Linked DNA regions of Arabidopsis thaliana. The protein of the gene in region 4 interacts with the protein of the main gene of each other region in a pairwise test. Each region holds a gene or a part of one and is shown on either strand. Other genes may lie near its edges.

The links.
Region 1: the proteins of AT5G22310 (region 4) and EXO70H1 interact in a two-hybrid assay, tested with the Arabidopsis thaliana proteins (one large-scale study listed by BioGRID).
Region 2: the proteins of AT5G22310 (region 4) and PKP-ALPHA interact in a two-hybrid assay, tested with the Arabidopsis thaliana proteins (one large-scale study listed by BioGRID).
Region 3: the proteins of AT5G22310 (region 4) and AT1G30860 interact in a two-hybrid assay, tested with the Arabidopsis thaliana proteins (one large-scale study listed by BioGRID).

Annotation. Positions count from the first base shown.
Region 1 is NC_003074.8:20,439,745-20,444,774, forward strand, and holds EXO70H1 (exocyst subunit exo70 family protein H1), read right to left. Parts: upstream 2,907-5,030; 5' UTR 2,822-2,906; coding exon 911-2,821; 3' UTR 747-910; downstream 1-746. Other genes in the region: AT3G55140 (Pectin lyase-like superfamily protein), read left to right, coding at 1-17, 89-157, 245-481.
Region 2 is NC_003074.8:8,136,768-8,142,699, reverse strand, and holds PKP-ALPHA (Pyruvate kinase family protein), read right to left. Parts: upstream 3,516-5,932; 5' UTR 3,332-3,515; coding exon 2,729-3,331; intron 2,630-2,728; coding exon 2,539-2,629; intron 2,434-2,538; coding exon 2,240-2,433; intron 2,048-2,239; coding exon 1,926-2,047; intron 1,786-1,925; coding exon 1,307-1,785; intron 1,231-1,306; coding exon 929-1,230; 3' UTR 648-928; downstream 1-647. Other genes in the region: AT3G22961 (Paired amphipathic helix (PAH2) superfamily protein), read right to left, coding at 1-562; ARFC1 (ADP-ribosylation factor C1), read left to right, coding at 5,187-5,378.
Region 3 is NC_003070.9:10,985,825-10,992,141, forward strand, and holds AT1G30860 (RING/U-box superfamily protein), read right to left. Parts: upstream 3,770-6,317; 5' UTR 3,423-3,769; coding exon 2,670-3,422; intron 2,571-2,669; coding exon 2,452-2,570; intron 2,365-2,451; coding exon 1,681-2,364; intron 1,597-1,680; coding exon 1,275-1,596; intron 1,187-1,274; coding exon 872-1,186; 3' UTR 672-871; downstream 1-671. Other genes in the region: RSH4 (root hair specific 4), read left to right, coding at 1-194; AT1G30870 (Peroxidase superfamily protein), read left to right, coding at 5,711-5,998, 6,300-6,317.
Region 4 is NC_003076.8:7,382,728-7,388,079, forward strand, and holds AT5G22310 (trichohyalin-like protein), read right to left. Parts: upstream 3,107-5,352; 5' UTR 2,619-3,106; coding exon 2,190-2,618; intron 2,107-2,189; coding exon 2,014-2,106; intron 1,939-2,013; coding exon 1,015-1,938; 3' UTR 856-1,014; downstream 1-855.

The DNA.
Region 1 (5,030 bases), on a different chromosome or scaffold from region 4:
CTAGTGTAGAAGCGCAGGTAAACTCTTTTGCAGATCTTAGATCATTGCTTGAGGTCTCACCTGAAGATTCTTATGTTTCTGAAATCAGGTGTTCTCTCAATGCAATATATACGAAGCAGGAGTGAAGAAGAAAACTTTTGAATACTACTCAGAAAAGGTTAATTCTCGCTTTTCATTTGCATCAGAGAAAATCTTGTTCTTATTTTGAATCCACCACCATCATCTTGTGTGAGTTTGTTTGTAGGCTGCTGACAAGGAAGAAGCGAGAACTGGGTTAGTACGATCTGAAAATGACTTGTTCTTGAATGGAGCTCAACCTTCCTTGATGACAGGAGCCAGTGAAGAATGTGTATTCCATCCAAGTGAACACTACCCAACATGGACTGTGGAGCCACCATCAGAAACTCTCAAGCAAATCATGCAAATTTGTACCGGTTGGCAATCTTTGTCCCGTCCTTCTGATCATGGAGTTCCTAAGTAATAGTTGCGATTCAAATGTTTTCTTGCATATCATATTTCCTTCTTTTTCTAGTTATTGAAGGAGTGAATAATGCTTTTGTTCTTCAGCACATTATGTTTACAGTATGCTGTGTGTGATTTTTTATGCCTTTTTCTTCTTTGTGATTTGTAATTGGCTTCTTGAATGTATATCACTGAATCGAATTCTTTATCAGATTTATATCAGCTTCGGTTATTAGAGACTACTCGTTTTATTCTTAAAGCGTATCGCAAGTTTGTTTTTTCTTAGATAATGAAGAACTCGTCATAAATTATGTAAAGAAAATCTCATTTTTTTTTTTTTGTTCTCATTTTCTGTTGCACACACAATGCAAACACACGTATCTACATTTTTTTCACTTCACATCATGTAAAAAATGGAATATTTAGCCAAAACTATGGATCAAGTCTCTCAGCCTGAAACACACCCAAGTGATTTCCAGGATGAAGAGGAAGAAGATGAAGAAAAAGAAGAGGATGCATGAATTGGTGTACCGTGGAAAAGATCAGAGATGTAATTCTCCAAATTATCTGGCTTGAATCTCACCAAGATCTCAATGTTTCTCTCCTGGCCGAGCATTGGTAAGTACTTCCTGTAAAACTCTCTGTATTCTGGTACAAGTTTCTTTGCTATTGAAACCTTTAGTTCGTCCCTAAGTTTCGCATTTGGTACAACTCGTGATGATTGTTTCATATATGCTTCCTCAAATGCCGTGTGAAATCTTCTGAAATATATTTTAGCTTCCTCTGGTGATAGGTCTGTGGGTTCTTCTGGTAAAGACATGAAAACATTGGACCATGCTGCTATCTCATAATTCCCAGCATAAGCGCAGAGTTTATCTTCGTGCTTATTGAGCCAATCATCTCCAAGGAGATTCCTTAGGGGAGTTGAACCAACCGTTTCAATGATGATCTGAAGGTTGTTTGCAAGGAAAAGGTAAGACAAAGAAACATCCTTGTAATGCTCTGCTTTGGTGTCTAGTTTGCATAGCAAAACCAGGATTAGCCAAGCAAAATGGACAGAGAGTGCGTGATTGTGTTGTTCATCTTCCGAAATTGGAGCTCTGACATAGGATTCCAGCAGGCGAGTGTTTCTCGGGAGTGGATGGTCTGCTAGGATTTCCGACAAGACTCCGCTGTACTTAGAAAGGGAAGAGATGAAGTTCATTGTTGATCGTGTCAGTTTATGAATCCCTCCTCCAGGTGTTAGAGCTTTCGTCGTATCTTTCTGAATGATTGATTCAAAATCCGTGAGAGCACTGTGGATTGAGACCTTTAGTTTTTGCAGCGATGTGAGCGCCTGAGATTTCACACCAGCTACTGCATCAAAGTGGAATATCATCTCTATGTCTTGCCAGAGATCAGAGATTGCAGCCTGCAGATCCATTAGCGGGAAGATCCTCTCGTGCGATTTCTTCTCCTTGGCAACAAATTCAGGGAACTTGAAAAGGTTAGTGGCTGCTTCGTTTGCAATCTCGTAGAAGCATGACTCCCTTGTTGAATTGGAAGCAGAAAAGACATGATCACAAAGAAGTTTCTCTCCACGGAAGAGCGTGGCAATGCCAATCTTTGCAGCTTTTATCCAGTTCTTGATCATATGCTCGAGCGTGACCCAGTCCGTTCTGTGAAATCTGGAGCCTTTGTAGATTTCAATCCCGAGCAAGCTCAGCCCTTCATCTACAATAGATTTTCTGACCCGCTTATAAATCTTTACGCACTCCTTACCATATCCGCAACTTATCATACTCTCTGCTATCGCCTTAAGGTCAGACATCACCATAGCTGAAGCTTTCTCAACCTGAGTGATCGATTCGCCAGCTTTCCTCATCTCATTGTCACTTTCATCGTCGTCGTCAGATCCCATAACATCTTCAAATTCAGAATTGCTGGAGATTGAGGATTGACCGGAAACTGATTCAGGATCAAGCTTGTCTCTGTTTGAAGATAATATCTGGAAGAACTCTTTTTCGAGCCTTGCCATGGCGATCTGCATCAGGGTCTGAGCTAGAGCAAGCTTTGGAGATTGAGAGTCTTGAGAGACAAGAAAGTGCATCGCTCTGCGCAAATCACGGACACATCTGATGAACTCTTTAGCCTCCTTCCTGCTATGGTTGAACAGAGAGACAATCTTGGTGAAGGAAGGCGTGTTCGGGTCCCATTTTCTGATGACGGAGTCCGCTGTCTCCACGGTTTCCTCCATCATAGCCTGAGTAAAGTTCTGGTTTAGAGGAGAAGCCGGGAAAGAAGTGAATGAAGAAGGCGAAGAAGGATGATATTTAGGAGATGACGAAGAGAAGAAAGAAAATTTCGCCATTTTCGCCATTGAAGAAGAAGAAGCTCTCTATTCTCTTCTTTCTGAATTGAAAGCGAAGCCTTTTAAAATGGTGTTACTTGGCTTTTACTCTTTCTATTTTAATTAGAAAGATGGTTTTTAACAATTATATAGAGAGCGAGATTGGTCTTGACTTTGAAAATGAAATCGATGACGATGTGCTTACCTGTGATTATAGACCCAGACCACAAAGAACCATTGACTTCGATGTATAATATAAGCCTTATATACTTAAAAGATAACTAGAGTACAAATTTTATATACATATGGGCGACAAAGTTTTTGCTATCCACGTCTAGAACTAGAATTATATGACTATTTCATTCTGTCAACTTATAATTTTATATAACAGTTAAATTCATCAATTTCATTTCATTTGACTTTTTATTGCATCATTCGCATTATTGATCACTAATTATACTTCTTGTTCGAATTTCGTATTGGAAGTTTTTTGACCAAAGAAAAAAAAGAAGACTAATAGAGTTTCACTAGAAAAGTCCGAAATTTATATATTTAGCGTTCTCTTATATAAACGCGTTTCTACATTTCAATTCTTGTGTGTCTGTCAACGTCTGCATTTCAGTTAATAAGTTATAGTTATCACAGTAATTAACGTTTTGAATCAATACTATGATACAATAAGTTGTTAACGCTGTCCTTGCAAACTAACAGCTATACGTTTATTGTAATAGTTAAGAGAAAAGTGTTACAAAATATTTAAGTTGATTTTACAGCCTAATGTTATATTAGCACTGTTGATGTGTCATAATCTGATAGTATATGTTTGTGCTTATAGAGGATAGAAAAACAAATCACAAATTATGTATTATATAAAACTAATATTCTTTCGTCTGACCAAAAAGATGATCATAAAAGATACGTACTATACTTCATGATCTTGTCTAGAAGAAAATAAAACCTATATTCCAAGTTTTCCCATACATTAGATATCATATACACAGACACAAGACATTCGCATGTTATGTATGTATGGTTTTGCAAGAAAAAGTCAAATATACGCACTCATAAATCATGATATAAAGATATACGAACCGGAGGTATTGGCAATTTCCAGGCGTTACAGATTCTTAAAAGACCAAAATGGAGATTCGCTTACCAAAGTCAACTACATTTACATATACATTTCAACTAATTTGGCTTCAACGTCGTATATACGTGAGTTGTCTAAATCATTATAAGAGCATATAAGCTAGTCAACGTTTTGTTTCGACGACTCTCTTTCTTTAAACAATGGCTAGTGTTACTTCACGTATTCGGTTACATTGCTAACGAACCTTAAAGAATTTAGTTATTGTAGCTGTCTTTTTTCCTTAAAAGTGGAATCTTCTTCAATCAACAAAGCAATGACTATTGATCAATGCCATCATTTGATTACAACTCACAGTTTTTGTTTTGACAATTATCTTGTTATATACATATGAGAGAAAATGAACTATAGTAGTGTTTAGTTCGTTTCAGATTGAGATTGATTATGTTTATGTTATTTGTTTTTTTCCCAAACTTTACTAAGGAAGATTGTAAGCTTGGGGGAGCCCTAACGAATCAGAAATGAATGATATCGTAAGTGCGAAAACAATTTGAAGACTGGACTGTGAAGCGGTCAACTCTCAGGCGTAGATCATCGGAGTAAAGACAATGCCAATGCAAAAGTCAAAAGTTTATAAAGTATCTTTGATAACCCCAAAAATGATAAGAACATAATAATCCAAGTGGGTATTTTTGACTTATTATTATATAGATACATTAAACTCTAATGTAGCTGGTTCTACTTCTAGTCTTCCTTCTACAATGTGTATTATCGTGTGACACGAACCAACATTTTGGATGAATAATATAAACATTTCTTTTGCTCGGAATGCTTACATGTTTTAGAATATGAACCTCTCCCTCTCCGGTATAATGATATGTTTGAAGAATTAAATCTTTTAGTTTAAATATATCAGAGGAGATCAAAGATCTTTGACAGCAAAACAGAGGTATACATACAACAAGAGAATATTAAACTTTGATGTCTTACTTTCTACAATGTTTTCTTCTTCTCTCATTCTGTATTATCAATGCAGAGAATAAGTTATTTCGTATGGACCAGACAAAGTATAATTCCACTAAACTGATTAGAATTGAATAAGTAAATCCATCACTTCCTGGTGCTTGGTTAGTCCTCCCCTGATGGATCAAG
Region 2 (5,932 bases), on a different chromosome or scaffold from region 4:
CAAGTCTAGTCTTATACTCTTCTGCCCCCGCCTCAAAACCACGTTTCGGTTTTTTGAGTAAACGGGAATCAACTAGAAACAATATGAACTCCTCTTTAAGAGATGCGTGATCGCAGAGAATCACGTCGAGTTGTTCAACCAAATCCACAATATCACCGCCAAACACCAGCTGATTTAGGAACGCACCGTGTAAACCCTTTCCCAAACCTTCCACTTTCTTCATCAACTCAACCGTGCGTTCTACGTCTGATTTTGCCGAGTTACAATCCTTCTCTGTGATAGGTGAATCTAATAGAAGAAGCTGATGGAATTCTTGGAGCAGAGCGTCGTGGTTACGAAGAATAGAAGCGACTTTGGTTTTGAGATCGATGTAACTTAAAGACTTAGATCGATAAGACTTCATTGCATTTAAAAATTTAACGATGATTGTCTTATCATCCAACTCTTTAACTTTTTTCACGAACTCGCAACTCCGTTGAATCTCTTCTTCCGAACAATCCGACGGAGTTTCATAAAAATCTCTCTCTTGATTCTTCATCCGAGGTCTCTTGCAACTTTTCATGTTTGTTCAAATATCTTCTCTAATGGAGAGGCGATTCTAATTGTGATTATATATACACTATTTATAATATAGGGTTATGGTATATATTCGAACTCATCCTATTTGGGTTTACATATATATCCTAACAAAAAGATAAAACAAAAGGACTAAATGATAGAATCGAATATTTGAATAAGATTACTGATATTATTGAAAACCAAAAACAAACAGTACACACTACAAACAAAGCTTACACATTACTGTTGTTAACAAACCGAAGATGATGATGCCTCTGGAATCTAATGTAAGAGTAGTCTAAAAACAGTAACAAAAGTAGGAAACAAAACACTCTTTTGCGGGATTGCGAAATTGTATAAAGAGAGAGAATTACGGGACGTTCATTACCTGGATTGATTGCAGCATGTCCGAGACTGCGATCACGAGGTCACCAGATTTGATCATACCTCTTGATTTCAGTAACGAGAATGTTTTGTTCAAGTTGCTTTCCATGTCGTCTGAGAAGCTGAGACGGAATGGGATAAGTCCCCATTGTAGGTTTAAGCGTCTTCTCACTGAGGTTGTGGTTGTGAAAGCAAAGATCGGGCAGTCCGGGCGACATCGGGAGACCAGTGATGCCATGTGTCCGCTCGTTGTGTAAACGAAAACCGCGTCCACTCCAAGATTGTTAGCTGCAAGTTTTTGGATAGTAAAATGAGACACTAAAGACATATTGCCTTCTATGGAAAACAAAGAACCTAAATTTACCCATTTTAGCAGCTGAGTTACAGATCTCTTCTGAGATTTTGTCTGAAAATGAAGAGCCTATGGCTTGAAGCGGTACAGACTCATGGCGTTTCTCTTCCCTCCACCATCTCTCGATTCTTAAACTGACAGTCCTTAGAACCGTGAGCGCCTTGTCTGGGAATTGTCCCATAGCTGATTCTCCAGAGAGCATCAATGCATCTGATCTTTGTCTTACTGCTTCAGACACGTCGGCAACTTCTGCTCTGGTTGGAGTTGGGTACTCAATCATGGACTCCAATAGCTGTGAAGCGACAATGACGGGTTTGTTAAGAGCTCTGCATACTTGGACGATTCTCTGTTGAGCTGCTGGAACTTGCTCAAGAGGTATCTGAGCTCCCAGATCTCCTCTTGCAACCATGGCCCCATCTGATGCTAGAATAATTTCTTCCAAATTGGTCAGTGAATCGATACTCTCGATCTTTGCAATCACTCCAATTTCCCTGCATCATAGTTGAATACAACATCAAAATAAAACTATAACTAAAGATGGTGAATACATGACGCAAAACCCAATCCCAAAGTAGATCATATGTTTCCTGTACAGTAGTATGATGTGTTGATATTGAGCATGTTTACTTACCCTCCACGGGAACGAGCAGCAAGATAACTTTTAAGGTGATTAATGACTTCAGCCGACTTGACAAACGATACAGCAATGAAATCCACACCTTCAGCAATTCCAAAATCAATATCCAACCAGTCCTGAATATAAAGAATTGAGGTATCATCAGTGAAAATGAGTATGTTTTCCCTCAGGTATCATCTGTTTTGCTAACATGGACTCATCTAGTTTCCAAAAGTGTACATCTTCACCATTGCTTTGATCCCTCCCAAATTTACCAAGTAAAGTGAATCATAATTCAAAGCTTAAAGGGAAGATACAAAATTACAAACCTTGGAAGAAATTGTTGGAAGCATGGCATTACGCTCTCGTACAAGACTTCCATCTCTCCAAAACGTCAAGTTAGCTCGAGGAAGCAACAATCCAGGATCGGTACATAGACACTTAACATCAGGACCAATCTTCTCAATCACTTCAAATCTCACCATCCCACCATCAACCAAAAGTTCATCCCCAACTCTTACATCTACACCACACACAAAGACCAAATGATTCCTATTTCATACGCAGTCACCATAATATTCATCTAATGTTTTCACTTCCACTTTTACATAAACATAATTGCATATACCTTCAGCGAAACCATCGTAGCTAACACTAATGGTACGTTCAGGACGAGAAGAATCAAAAGCTCTAACAGTGAAAGTCCAAACCTCACCATCCTGTAAAAATGTCATCACCACCAAAGCTTAAACATCTAAATCACAAACACAGCAATGTCTACATCGAATTCAAATCAAAATAAGAAGAGATTAAACAACCTCTGCTTTAGCTGAAGCTTCACCACCAAGATCTCCCATATGAATCTCACTACCTTCAGTATCCATCATAATAGCAACCGCAAAGCCTTTCTCCTCATTAAGCCTCCGAACACTACGAATCACACCGCGGTGCCAATCACGCGTACCGTGACACATATTAAGCCTTGCCACATTCATACCTCCCACAGCAAGCGCCTCAAGCTGCTCAAATCCACAAGTCGCCGGTCCGATCGTACAGATCAGCTTCGTCCTCCTCGTACTTCTAAATCCATTCTCCTTAAGCTCAGCTTCCGTCACAGTATCAACCTCAATCCCAGACGTATCAGTCGTAACCGCCGTAGCGACAACGGATCTCTCATCAGACTTCACAGCACCAGTACCGTTAGGTGAGAGAAGTACTTGCGAGGATGATGATGAGGACGATGAATCGAGATCCGGTGAAGGAGATGATGACGAGGAGGCTCTGATGGAAGTGTATTTGATGGTTGTTAGAGGGAAGCGACGGAAGGAGATAGAGGAGAGAGGACGGTTGAATTGTGAGTGAGGGAGATGGAGAAGGTGAGGAGTGTGTGAAGGAGTGGAGAATTGAATAGACTGAGACATGGTTTCGCCGGCGACGGAGGAAGAGAGATCGGAGAAATCGAAATCGAAATCTCAGGACAGTTGGCTCTGAGGAGAATGAAGGCGGAGATATCGAAGTGTGAGAGTGTTGAATTTGGATTTTTTTTTTTTTTTCTGATATGATAGGACTTTGGGAGAGAGGTTATATTTGGAATATTTGTATTTGTATTTATATATATATTCTATGTTTTGGTGCCGTCGAGGCTGTATGTAAAATAAGTGTACCTACCCACCTAAGAATGATCAAATTAGATTTTGTGATTATTACTATTATTATTTTTAATAAAATATTAAATTCGACCAAGAAAAAATAAAGTTAGGATACATCAAATGTAACTTTTCCAAAATTGTTTTGAAATTAGATTATACAAGAGAGGTTTTAAGGACTTTTAGATGCAAACCATGTTTGGAGATTTGGTTCGTATCTACTATATTTCTCCTTTCAAATGATTGAGAGTTTTTTTTTTTTCCAGCTTATCTATTCACTTAGGAAGATGTGTGATAAGAATCAGAGTTTTATTGTGTGTTTTTTTTATTGCGTTCTCGCCAAATCGAATGAACCATTATTTGAAAACTGTATTAGAGGAAGAATATATGGATTCTGTTACAGTGATCAGAAGTAATAATAATGACTAGAGCTTGCCATATTGTAGAGAATCGTCACTAGAGTAGTGGTTTCGCTAGGGAGGACCAGACTGCCGACGAGTACTTACAGCTGAAAAACAAGTGCTCTCGTGTCTCGATAAGAGTGTTACATAACACACATGTTCGATTCAAGTTCACATTCCAAGCCTTCATTGAATCTAATGTAGAGAGTCGATTCCGCATTGCTAGCCATATACAAAAAGAGAACTATCAACTATGATAGGATCTAAAAAATCCAATTAGACTTTTCTAGAACTATTATATATATATATATATATATATATATATATATATATATATATATATTTTAAATCATCGTATACAATAACAAAAATAAGATTCGTTACCAAAATTAGCACAAATTTAATAATAAAATAATCAATATAAGCATTTAATTAACATTTCACACGATCGTATTATAACCATGATTTCAAATTATAATTAAATTTGTTATTTTAAATCCTCAATATAATTTACTTCTATTTAATTTTATATACTTCTGTGGGCCGAGAAAATGTAATTGTTATAATCTAAAATATATGGAAAGGCCCTAAGCCCGTTTGAGTTTTTTTTTTTCTCGTTTAAAAACATCTTTGTGGATTTCAAGTCTTCAACAATGTTCGTCTTTGGCGTCGTGGCTAATGGCGGTGACGTGTTCGGTGCCATTACGGTAGAGGCTGCAGCCGTTTGGGTAAGTAAAAGAAAACATTACTATATAGTTTTCATTTTAATATTTGTTATATTAAAAGTTATTAATAATTTAGATCATCATATTTACAGTTTTGACATTGTTTCCCGCATACTTTTCTTCTTCTTCTTCTCTCCACCCATCTGCTTTAAGGAAGGAACCTCAAAAGCTTACAAAATAGTAGAAGAAGAACTTTTTTTGATCTCCGATTCTTACCTCTGCAATCTTCAGATTCTAGCTGATTCAAGGTTTGATCACAAATTTCCCGATTTGTATATATATAATTTAGATTTGGTTAACTTTATCGAATCTGGGATCGTTGTATCCAAATCTGATCTGGGCTTCTCTGATTCAATTACTTGGGTTTGTAAAATTGATGGGTCAATTTAAAGGATGTATCTTTAGGGTTTCTCGATTTCACTCTGTTTGTAGAACAATTTGATCGTAAAAGTAATGATGTGTTTTATTTGATTAGGATCTTGTTTGTGATAGAAATTGGAGGAGATGGGAGCATTCATGTCGAGGTTTTGGTTCATGATGTTTCCTGCAAAAGAGTATAAGATTGTTGTTGTTGGTTTGGATAATGCTGGTAAAACGACGACGCTTTATAAACTTCATTTGGGTGAAGTTGTTACTACTCATCCTACTGTTGGTAGCAATGTTGAAGAGCTTGTCTACAAGAATATTCGCTTTGAGGTACTGGACTCTTTCTTTATTCATTTGGGTGAAGTTGTTTCTTAGCTTCTTATCTAGGGACGTGTTTTAGAAGTTTGAAACTTTATGGATGTTTCTTAAATTTGCCATTGCCATCTTTTGATTGTGTTATTGTCCCTAGCTATGTTTCTTGCTTGGGTGTGTGCATTTTTCTCGTTGAAAAATGGATGATGTTTTTGTCTAAGTTCTTGTCATGATTGGTTGAGAAGGTGTCAGAAACTCATAATGAACGTTTTCGTATGTGCGATTTATGGTTTTGTATAGTAAATTTTTGTAGATGTTGTTTATCTAGCTTGTTTGTTATACCGGAGGAACTGTTTGCTATTTCCCATTAGCTTAGTTTTTTTGCCAGAGGACTGTTTGGAACATCTTTATACAGTGGTCAAAGTCATGGCCTGAGATGAATTCATCTCTGTTTTATGACAATCTGCATGTGTTCTTATATGTCAAAACTCAATGATGAATATAAACGTAACTAAACTTACTAAAGTTTGAATTGTTTCCTGTCAAAAACTAACTGTTGGACACTGGCAATC
Region 3 (6,317 bases), on a different chromosome or scaffold from region 4:
GCGTTTTAAAGACGAGGAGTACTCGTGATCACCGGAGATCAGCTGAGTCTTCACCGCAACGTCGTGTTAGGTTCTCGACTTCGTCTTCATCGGCTTCAGTTTCGTGCCCTACTTCGCCTCGAACTTGTATCACTCCACGTTTGCGTAAGGCTAGAGATGACTTCAACACCTTCTTGACCGCACAAAACGCTTGAATAAGGAAAACAAAAACAGAACACAGAGTTTTATTTATAATATGTATGTATGAAATGAGTGTAATGTATCTACGGATGATGTGTAAATATTATGGAGAGAAAGAGAGTGTTGAGTCTTTGAGAAATCAAAATCGATAAAGGGTTTATGATTCTAAAACAACTCAAAAAGTATAATTTTTAGTGTTTGCTTAGAAGCTCTATCTCCAATTTTTGAGGGTTTGTTTGGCTTTGTTGAATCTTTATGAAATAAATTTGACCAAGAGTAGATGATTATGAGAGTATTTTATAATCTATGTGCTTCACTTTTGCATCGAAGATCTGTTTTCAGACTTTAATCTACAATTTTTAGAGTGTACTCAATGAGGTATCAAAATCAATGAAATGATGGTTACTAGAGTAATTGCAAAAATTCATGTATGTTTCCAAGCTCTGTTTGTGACTTGCCTTTTCAGGTTTTAAGGTTTATTTTTAGGCTATTTTCCGTTAATTTTTTTGGTTGGTTTAGGAGATCAAAAACTTCATAAAACTGGACAAAGTGTTGGTAACATAACCTAAAAACTGTATAAAGAGAGCATAATACGATATTCAGACCCAAAACGCCAAATAACGCAAACTCGATAAGGAAAAGAGGGTTTAATGGGTTAGTGAATTCTTCAGCGTTTTCAAAACGGTTGATTTCAGTTTCTTGTATCGTAGATGACACGAACAACGTCAACAATCTGAGCTCTGCAAATCGGACATTTCCCTCCACTCCAATGTAGTTCGTTGGCACATTTTAGGCACATGCACATATGTCCACACCTGTACAAAACCGCCTCGACCTGTGTTTCGTCGCAGACGCAGCATTTTCGTTTCATTGGGTTTTCTTGGTGAGCCTTGTGTTGCAAGCTCGCGTTAGCATCTAAACACGTTTTGACAGAATCTCGTAGTACTGACATTTCTTGCTGAAGCTGTTGGATCTGTGATCTCATACCGCTTATCAGCTCCATTTCCTGAAAACGTTTATATGCGGCTCAATGAGTTTACCACTAGTGCGGTTGCGAGTTTCTATAGTATAACAAGAAATCGATAAACACTCACAGGTGACTGAGGATTCTGAACAACCAAGGCAGGAGTGGAAGTAACATCAGTGTCTTGAGAACTCCATGATCCTGCAGGAGACGATGCAGATATATGTGAAGACGACGATTGGCTCAAGTCATCTCTATCATCTTGCTCTTCACCTCCTCTTAATGGCTCTTCTTTGATTTCTTCATCAATTTCAAAATTTACTTCCTCCTCTTCTTCTTGTTGCAATTCCCATTTTTTGGAGTGCTTATCCGAGTGTGTCTGTACACGGGACATCATGAGATTATCGATCTTCTCTCGCAACCCGCTGTCGAGGAAATCTGTCACCGTTCTTCTGTATTAAGCAGGGAAATTCATTTTCTTAGTCAGTTATTAACCATTAAGAAACATGAGCTTGTCAATTTTGATGGTTACTTACCGCTCAAGGAGTCTGCATATGTCATCTTTCTCAGACCTAGTGTTCATTACTTCCAGGTACCGTGACTTCCTCAATTCCTCCCAGTAACTCCGAGGCCTAGCTATTTCACTAAGCCAGTCGTCGTTATATTCTCCATAATAAGACTGCTCATCTGCATACTCTTCTTGTTCTCCCCATCTATTCAAATAGGATGTTTCTTGTTGATCAAGGCACTGGTCCATCTCATTACTCTCATGAACTAGACCTTCTGTTTCTCGAGTTTCTTGCATATACTTTCCCACATTGTTCTCGTCTTGATTCTGTCTCAACCGCGATTCTCGAGATAAATATTCACTCGGGCTAGTATTTTCTTCTTCTTTCTTTTCAGACTTGCCATCGTTGCAAGTTTCTTCTACTTCTCTTGTTTCTTGCAGCTGAAGGCAATTCTTTTGTGAATCAACTGTTCCACTTACAGATTCTTCTTCCTTACATAACGTTGCTTCCTCTATCTTGCGGTTACGGGGTCTCAACCGCTCTGCGAAAAAAGCTTCGAGAGTAACACCACCATCCTTTAACCTCGTGCTTGTGGTAGTAGTTCCTTCTGTTTCTTCTACGGATTTGTTGTTCATCTCAGTGGATCGTTGATGATTCTTCCTCTTATCTGTTGCAGCCGCAGAGTTTACTACGTTCGCATGAAATTTCTCCCTGCGTTGCCAATCAAAGATTGAAAATCTGAAGAAAGTAAACCCTAAGAACTAAACTCAAAACATAAAACAGAGAATCTGAAAAAACCTTAAATGCAGAACAGCAGAGCCTGATTCAATTCGGTTTAATCCGGTTGTTTTTGCGTTAGACCGGTTTCTATCTTGAATCACAAGACAGCGATTGAGGTTCCTTAACCTTAGCATTGACTGGTTAAATAATGTAATTAGAAAAACCATTTAGTGGATTATGAATAAAGTCACAAATATGTTAGTTATTTTTATCAAAATAGTGAAAATATAATTTACCTGGAGACGACCACGTTGAGTAAACCTAGAAACTGCGTTGCGTTCAAAAAGCGAATCCAATTCACGGTGGCGATCACGTTCCATTTGCATAAGAAAATCGGTAAACGCTTGTCGTCCTCGTATCTTCGGAGAGAAACTAACCACCGGAAAATTACTTTTCTCCGATGACGACGAAGTGCAATAAGGCCTCGGCGTTCTGATAATCTCGAGTCCACCGCCACCGCCGCTGCCATTATCTCCAGCGGTTCGTTTCTTGTCTTCGTTGCTAAGCCTCCGAATTAGGTCAGCGACTCGTCCCCATTTACTTTCTCCGGAATCAGAAACCAAACCATGTGACCTAGATTCAATCTCCACCGTTCGATCAGCAATTTCAGAATCTCCATCGATTGATGAAGATTCTGAAAGACCGGAATCTTGAACACTAACTCCTGAATCGCTCCGACTACTACTACTCGCCGTAGATTGACTGCTACTCGGCGAGTTTCCACCGTTGGATCGGTTTAGCCTCGCCTCCCATATCTGAACCAAAGAAGAAGCCACAAGATTGTCGTTTCTCTTCGATTCTAACGGAGATTCAAGAACACGATTGTTCTTGTTATTGTGAGTTTCGATCCAAGAATCAACTAAATTCTCATCGGAGACATGAGATTTCAAAACCTCTTTCACCGGAGATTTCAGATTCTTTTGAAAAACGCCAGCGTTTTGGTTACGATCTCTTAAGATTAAACCGAATCTCTGAGGAGAAGACACCATTTTTTTACGATCTAAGAATCGAACAAACGAACATAAAATCAAATAATCATTAGAGTTTTTGAATCGATCGAAAGAAGTTAGAGGACAACTCTGTTTTCTCTGTCTCTCTACAAGAAGAAGAGAAAATGGATTTGTGTTAGTGAAGAGACAGATTTTTCTCTCTGTTTTTTTTTCCTGTTAAAGAAACAGAACAACAACAAACAAACGGTGGAGATACGATGATGATGAAGAAGCAAAACAGAACCAAACAGTATTTGTGCTTATCTATTTAGTAAGAGGACTTATAAATGTTAAGAGTCCTAAAATGGCTCTGTTTTGTCCCTTAAACTGGGGAACGTGTCTGTAAAACAAGGCAATAAAGAATGAGGTGTAAGAATACAGAGAAAGAAAAGCCTTATGTGGCCAAAAGTGATAAATTGTTATAGAAAAATAAAAAAGCTACTTATAATTTTGGACAAAATTGAATTTGAAAGATATTGTATAACACATGTCATTATACTGGTAAAAGCATTTAATTGTGTAATGCATGAAAAAATTAACATTGGATTGTTATACTAATTAAAGGGTGATTAAATTATTTAATAATTAAGGCTCCTAAATATGCTAGAGTCAAAAAGGAGCCGTTGAGGAATTTAGCCGTTGTCGAGTGGGAACCATGCACTTTCTGGATTTTATGCCACATCATAAATCAAATTGAAGAACTAAAGATAACAAACAATTTTAAATTGTATAACTGACAGGAACAAAAACTTTTAAGCAAAGTAAAAATAATTTAATTAGAGAAAATTAGATGTTCAACCCAAGTTTCATGTAGTGTGCGATTTTATTGTAGTGTGGTCAATAGGCCCAGGCATAGTGGTCAATGTCGTGCTTGGGTTAGTCGAATAGAGAGAGAACTTAGGACGAGTTGTGATTTGTGACTCTTATAAAACGATTTAAGAAAAAATAGTCTCTATACAAAATAACGATAATTGAAACCAATAATAAGGTTCACAACCGATCATTTTCGGATCCCGATGAGTTAACGATTAGTCAACGATAGAGTAAAACGACCGATTAATCGAGACTTAGTGTCTATGATATTGGCACATACGACATATATTTCGTATATATATTTCAGGTAACTGGGTATCGTTTATATTAGTTGCGGCATATGTGATAATGTATTCTTCCACACTTCGTATAGCTAGCTGACAATCTTTTTTCTTAAAGTTTAAGTATTAGGAAGTATTATCCGGTAGATAAAGAAGATGGACGATTGAAAAAGCGATTGATACGATTTTTCTTCTGTGATTTTTCCGACCGGCCGGCGTTGGTTCCGACTTCGATTGTACTCTTTTCTCCTTTATAATTCTAGCAAATATTAGTTTACATACATATATTTCAGTTATTAACAATGAGTTCTAGAGAATCAACTGCTTTTGGTTGGCCTCTTTTCACACTGTTGGCGATTTTCATGACCCAAAAATTGAGTTTTCTACAATTATTTGTAAGAAATATAAATTATAAAAACTAGAAAAATATATGAAAAAGTTTAAGGTTTTGACTAGTGAGAATTTGTTGTATAGTTCAAAAAAACTCAAAATTTGAACGTTTGAAAACTTGTTGAGATGCATCAATTTTCAATAAACGTAGCCTATGGTGAATTGTTTTTTTTTTTTTGTCAACATGTCTCTAATGGACCTATTTTTCCGTGCTAAAAAATGTGCAGAGGTAATATCGCTATTTTTGTTAGAGGATCTGAGCAAATTCATTATTAATGATTGTGCAAAAAATTTGTTAATTTCGATATATCACATTTTGCTTTACGGATTACTCGAAAACATACTTTGATGTCATCATCCAGTGTATATATACGTATGTTAATTGTAGACAACAAAATAAAATAATAATAGTCTCACATAACCGACCAAAAAACAAACAAAATTAAATCAATGGAAGTTGTTGACAAATAAATTTTACAATTAATCTAATCCAAATAAGTCAAAACCCTGATTTCAGTAATGTAAAGATCATTATATCATTTTTTCTCTTGTAAAAAGGTTTTTTAAAATTATACTATTAATATATATCATTTGATCAAAAAAAAATTATATATCATAAACATTATATACGACATGCAGGCAAGTCACTCGAATATTCAAATCTTAAAGTTGTGCCTCCCACGTAAAAGCATCACATTAGTTTCCAAACCCAATTGTATATATAAATTACTACACAACACACCTCTCATCAAACAAATTCATCAAAGCCAATCAAATTGAGAGAGATATCAAGAAAGCAAAATAATGAAGTTGGCCGTGGTCTCAGTCGTTGTCATACTCGGAGTTCTCGTGGCTTGGCCGGTATCGGCTGGCCGAAAAGACTTACCTGGAGCGGGAGGATACGGAGGCGATGACGATGATGATACAAAGTCATTGTTCCCTTTGGACAACCTATTATCGTTGAATTATTATGATAGGATTTGTCCAGATTTTGAGAAAATCGTTGTTACGAAAGTGAGGGAATGGACTAAGAGTGACTCTTCCCTTGGTCCCGCCCTCCTCCGCCTTATCTTCCACGATTGTGGCGTCACGGTATTGCAATTAATCGTTCAATTATATATAGCCAATGTTTTGATTCATATATGATTTACATTGTTCTAAAAATGGGTTTCACTATTACTCTATTAGAGATTAGAATTGTTCTTCCGTCTATCTAGACCATACTTGGAACATTGATAGTATATAGATATAAGTTTCTTAATATTGAAGACGGACTTGCGCACTTTATTCTGTGTATAAACGCATCTGAGTGTTTTGCGCATATCTAATATAGTTATGCATTTTAAAAGATAACAACTTGACATTTTTGTACATGAATTAACACAACTTTCAGGGATGTGATGCGTCTGTT
Region 4 (5,352 bases):
CTAAACTATGTAAAAGTATGAAACAAAAAAAGAAAGACAAACTTTTGGAACCCAAAACCCCTTGATTTGGTTTAATGGTACATATATATATGGTTCTAAGCTAAAATATTATATTGAGTGGGGGACATAGAGTAAGGCTGATTGGTATATGCATATATCTTTCACACGAATTGACCTATTACCTAATCATGTGTATATATGATCGAAAAATGAAGATCCGTTATTGTTCGTTATTGTTCATGTCATCTTATTAATTTTTGTAACTTTTTTGGTTGAATTGTTACCAAATATTCCCAAATAGGGTAAAACGTAACGGATATATAGTTGAGACAAAATCACATGGGAAGATGGAACGATGCTGTCCAAATGTCTAGACAATAATAGAGAAAATGTCTTGTTTCGTTTTTGATTCAAAATCTTAAACTAATCCTTTCTTGAATCAATTATATATCTCATTATTGTTCGTTCTTATTCTCATTGTTGTACTAATCATTATGATTTAATTTACACCAAATCAACGTTTCCATGTGTATATCTTCAATGCCACCAATAAATAAGTTCTTTAATAGTTATATACAATGTACAATTCACCTCCAATTCATTCCAAGCATGATTTGTTTGGTTTCCCCTTATTCTCTACATCTACATTATGGTCTAATTAGAGTTAGTTACAAACATAAAAACTCGTACGTAATGAATTGTTGTTCTCTAAAATAAGCACTTAAGTTCCGTAATAGACTTCAAATTCTGACAAATCACTTGATTACAAACTTGAAACTTCGATCATAAAAACGGAATATTTTGATAGAAAATGCAAATAATGATTTGATTGGATATGTGTAGTAAATTGAGGTTAAACCATTGTAGACGAAAAAATGTGATATACCGGCAAAAAATATTCCGTAATTGATTTTGTATTTCAAATTAAATTGAATAAATTACAAATACTGAAATATTATATACTATAAAAAAAAATGATTTCTTTTTCTTCCTCGCCGGCGCTAGCGGTGGTGATTACACAAACTCAGAGCTTGGTAAATTCCGATGATTCCACTGCTCTGACGATGAAGGACCAATACATCTAACATTTGAAACAATGTAATCTCTCAAAGTCTTCAAAGACTCATCTCTCTCACCATTCTCAACAATCACTGATCTCTTCTCCACCGGATCATCATCATCATCATCGCCGCCGGAGCCATCAAATCTCCGACGATCTTTCAGGCTATCAACATAACCCCATTTACTACCACTCTCCATGTTCAACTCAATGGACTTAAGATCACTCTCCTCATCATCATCAGAACCAGAACCATCAATCACCTCCAAAATCCTACGAATCTCCGACGACCCTTTTCCTTCTTCACCATCCAAAACCCGCCGGAGCTCCTTCTTCAGCCGCTCCACGGCGGCGTATTTATCTTCGAACTCAAACTTCGCCTCCGTAAGCTTCATTTGAACTCTCTCTTCCCTCAAAACATCAGCTATATGCATCATCTCTCTCTCTTTCTCCATCTCCTTCTTATCATCTCCGATTCCTTTAGTTAGCTCATCACAAACCTCTTCAAGAACATCTTTAGCTCTCTTCTCTCTTTTCATCTCCTCCTTCATCTTCCTCTCTGTTTCTTTAGCCTCCGTGAGCTCTCTCCCTAATCTTCTATTCATCTTCTCTGTTCTTCGCCGGAGTTTTCTCTCAACCATCGCCTCTTCTTGTAGACTCTCTATCAACCTCCGCTTCTCCTCTTCCTCTTCATCTAATTCACTCATTAGATGCTTTAGTGAAGATCTTGCTCTGTCTAGTTCACATAACAAAGCAGAGATCAAACGATTGCTTGCTGTCTTGTGATCATCTCCGAGCTCACCGATCCTTTTTAATACCTTTACCAGTTCTTTAGACGTTGTTAATCCGTCACTGACATTCTTGAAACGAGTTTTCACCTGTAATATAATTAAGAATCAGACCTTTCTTCTTCCGCAAGAAAAGTGTTTTTAGGGTAAGATTGCAAATCATACCGAGTTTGCGCCAATGATTTTGTATTCAATTGGGTTTAATTTCTGAGGATTTGTTGATCTTCTACGAATCATATCGTCACAGAGATCGATTCTCTGTGCAATTTTGATTTTTCAGACTTAGAATTTCAGAAAGAAAAAAAACACAGAGGAAACTTGAAACTGAAGCAAACCCTAACCTCTGAGCTTAGACGAGAAATCGGATCGGATGATCGTGGCGGGAAATCAATGGAAGAGAACTCTGTTGATTTCTTCGCTCTGTATCTCGATGGTTTCTTGCTTCTCAAGCAATCTTTATCAGAATTTACCGGAGGGTCTGCGTCGTCGTTGATTTCCCACAGCGTCGCAGCTAGCTTTCTCGCCGACACGCAGCTTTTCTGCAATTGATGATGATCTATAGGAAGATTTTCCGGCGAAAACGATAACAGAACTGGAGTTTTAGCGGCGGTGATGGACTTAACAGGAGTTCCTGAGCCACCGTCGTCTTGAGCGGCTCTTTTCCCGGCGAAAATTGCACGTTTGAAGCGGTTTCGACGAGCAAGTGAAGAAGAAGAAGAGGAAGAACCACCTCTCTTCCTGATCTTACAACCTTTCTTCCGTTGTTCCATAGTTGATATTCAAAACAACAAATCAGAACACAAAATTTTACCAAATCTTGCCGGAAAACAAGAGAAAAAAATAGGATTGAAATTGGTGCTTTTTAGGAGAAGTGAGTCATCTTCTAAGATCAGAAGCAGTTTCTGGAAGATTTTGTTTTTGAATCTCTAAATAGACTTTAAAGTGAGTGAAAGAGAAAGATAATACAAAAAGTGAAAGTTAAGATGATGTTTTTACTTCTTCTTAAAAGCAAAAGAAGAGAAGAGTAATAAGATTCTTGATCCCTTTGAAGACGTTGTGATTTGTGAAAAAGAAGTTTTGAATCTGGGAAATTGTGTTTTATTTTCTTGGGAGAAGAGAGATGTTGAAGAAGAGGAAAGAAAGATGGAGACAGTGTGGTGTTTTTGTGTTTGTGCGTTGTCTATTTGGGCAATGTAAATTTTCTTTGGAGGGTTCATGAACCGATGTTGTCCAATTTCGTCATTAATTTTAACAAAAATAATTTCATAATCAATGAGTACAAATATTGTTGCCGCTAACTCATTAATGCAACAATGACTTGCAAAAAGATATCATGGAATCCATGTTTCCAAATTAGTGCTTTCTAAAGAGTTTAGAATCTTTAGACCACAAGTTAACCTGGTTTGATCGGATTAGACAGGATTCTATTAAGTTTTTGTAGGCTTTTCTGGAGAAGAAAAAAAGAAGAGCATCAAATAAAGACAACGTACTAGATTATCAAAACTAGCATTAACCTCTATGCTAACGTCAAAAGCTAACATGTGTTTTCTAGAACTTGCCAAAAGTCGAACAGAACACGGGTTTAGGTCACAATTTAACCTCGTTTGATCGGATTAAGACCCGACTCATTTCGTTTTTGATTAGTATTTTTTTTTTGGGAAATAATATGAACGTCAAAAGAGTTAAAGACAACGTACTACGTACTACTATAAAGTAGCATTGTTTTCAACAAACATGAATATGGGTGACATATTTTGAAATAAATGAATATGCATAGACAAGGCAAGATACATGAGCCAAGAAAGTATACTCCTTTTTTCTTATGTTTTAGGAAAAAAAATTGTATTGAATTAGATGATGTTTTTTTATTTTTAATGCAAAATTGATTAGTTTTTATTGATTTTGACGATTTATATCATGCAGATTGTTCAATTATGATTGAATAGTGTTTAGAAAGATAATATATAGTATTTTTGTTTAAATGCGAATATTTGTTATACACAATCCAAAAACACAAACAGAAATATAATTATTATAAATCATTTTCGTTTAGGATTGAATAGTTCTTCATTTTATGTTTTAGGATTGTGTTTATAAACTTATGGCTTTTGTCTAGAGAGGTAGGTATTAAGATCAATACACTAAAATTTTACAGACAGTTGTTATAAGTTATTGGAATTGTCGCACATCGAAACTTTGACAATTTTGACACTAATATATATAGTAGATGTTCAATCATTGCTAAAAATCTCTCATTAAACAATCATAGTTACACAATGAATACATGGTTTTAGATTTTTGGATTCATAAAAAAAAATATTGCTGCTCTAAAACATATAGGATTTTTTGAATGTAAATCAGACATAAAATTTCCTAGATGCCTTAACGATTACTACTATCCAATCATAATTCACAACTCAAAACCAATGATTGTCTCTATACTAATTTGAACACAAGTTTTGTGATTGGCATATGAATTATGAAAGACAGGCACATGCTGAGTACAAATAATAGTAAATACTTATGGAACATCCCAAAGAGATAGATGCCTTCTCTGCCAGTCAAATCAAATCCATCCTCCAGATTCTTTTAACTCCATTACAAATAATTTAACATATTACTAATTTAAAAATAAATTAATACGAGTAAAAAAGAATTTTAAAATGTGTGAAGACTAGAGAAGTGCCACGATGATAGAAGAAAAATACAACATAGATGAACGGTTCAGATTAAAAAGAGTTCTAGTCTGTTTCTCTTTTATTCCTTTGAGTCTTTGACTACTACTCACATATCACATGGAGAATTTGACAAAAATGTCATATCACTATACTTTTATTCAATATACTAACTACTCTTGCAGCAGCAATCTAAACTCTACTTTAAAAACGACGTTCTTTTTTGTCAAATAAGCTAAACTAAAAAAATATCGTTTACAATATACAATACATACTATGGGTAATTACATACATTCAATACGGGTAGATACGGACATTTTGAACTAGCAAATCGGTTTTAACATTAGCATTACAAAACAAACATAGGAAACAAAAGAAGATGACAAAAATTTCTAACTCTTCTCTACGTCTTCATAATATATCACAAATGTAGACCACATTTACACCTAATCGGAATAGTCTGCACTAAAATTAATTTAGTTTTCTTTTCTGAAATCAAAATTCAAACTTCTCATTGTCCAAACTAGTGTTTCCACATTTTTCCTAGCATTTAGCTTGTATCATTTTATTTCTCTTTTTTATTACACACTAGAAACTAACACAATAAAAATAACAAATATTAAAGCGTGAATAGAATGGTCCCATGGTCTAGTGGTCAGGACATTGGACTCTGAATCCAGTAACCCGAGTTCAAGTCTCGGTGGGACCTATTCTCCTTTTTTTGTTTTGGTTTCAATGACACAAACATTTTATAAAATTAGATATAGCTTCTCAACAGTGCAGAAAACAATTTATAAAGAAGATCGAAACCACTTTCTTCCTCTCCTAT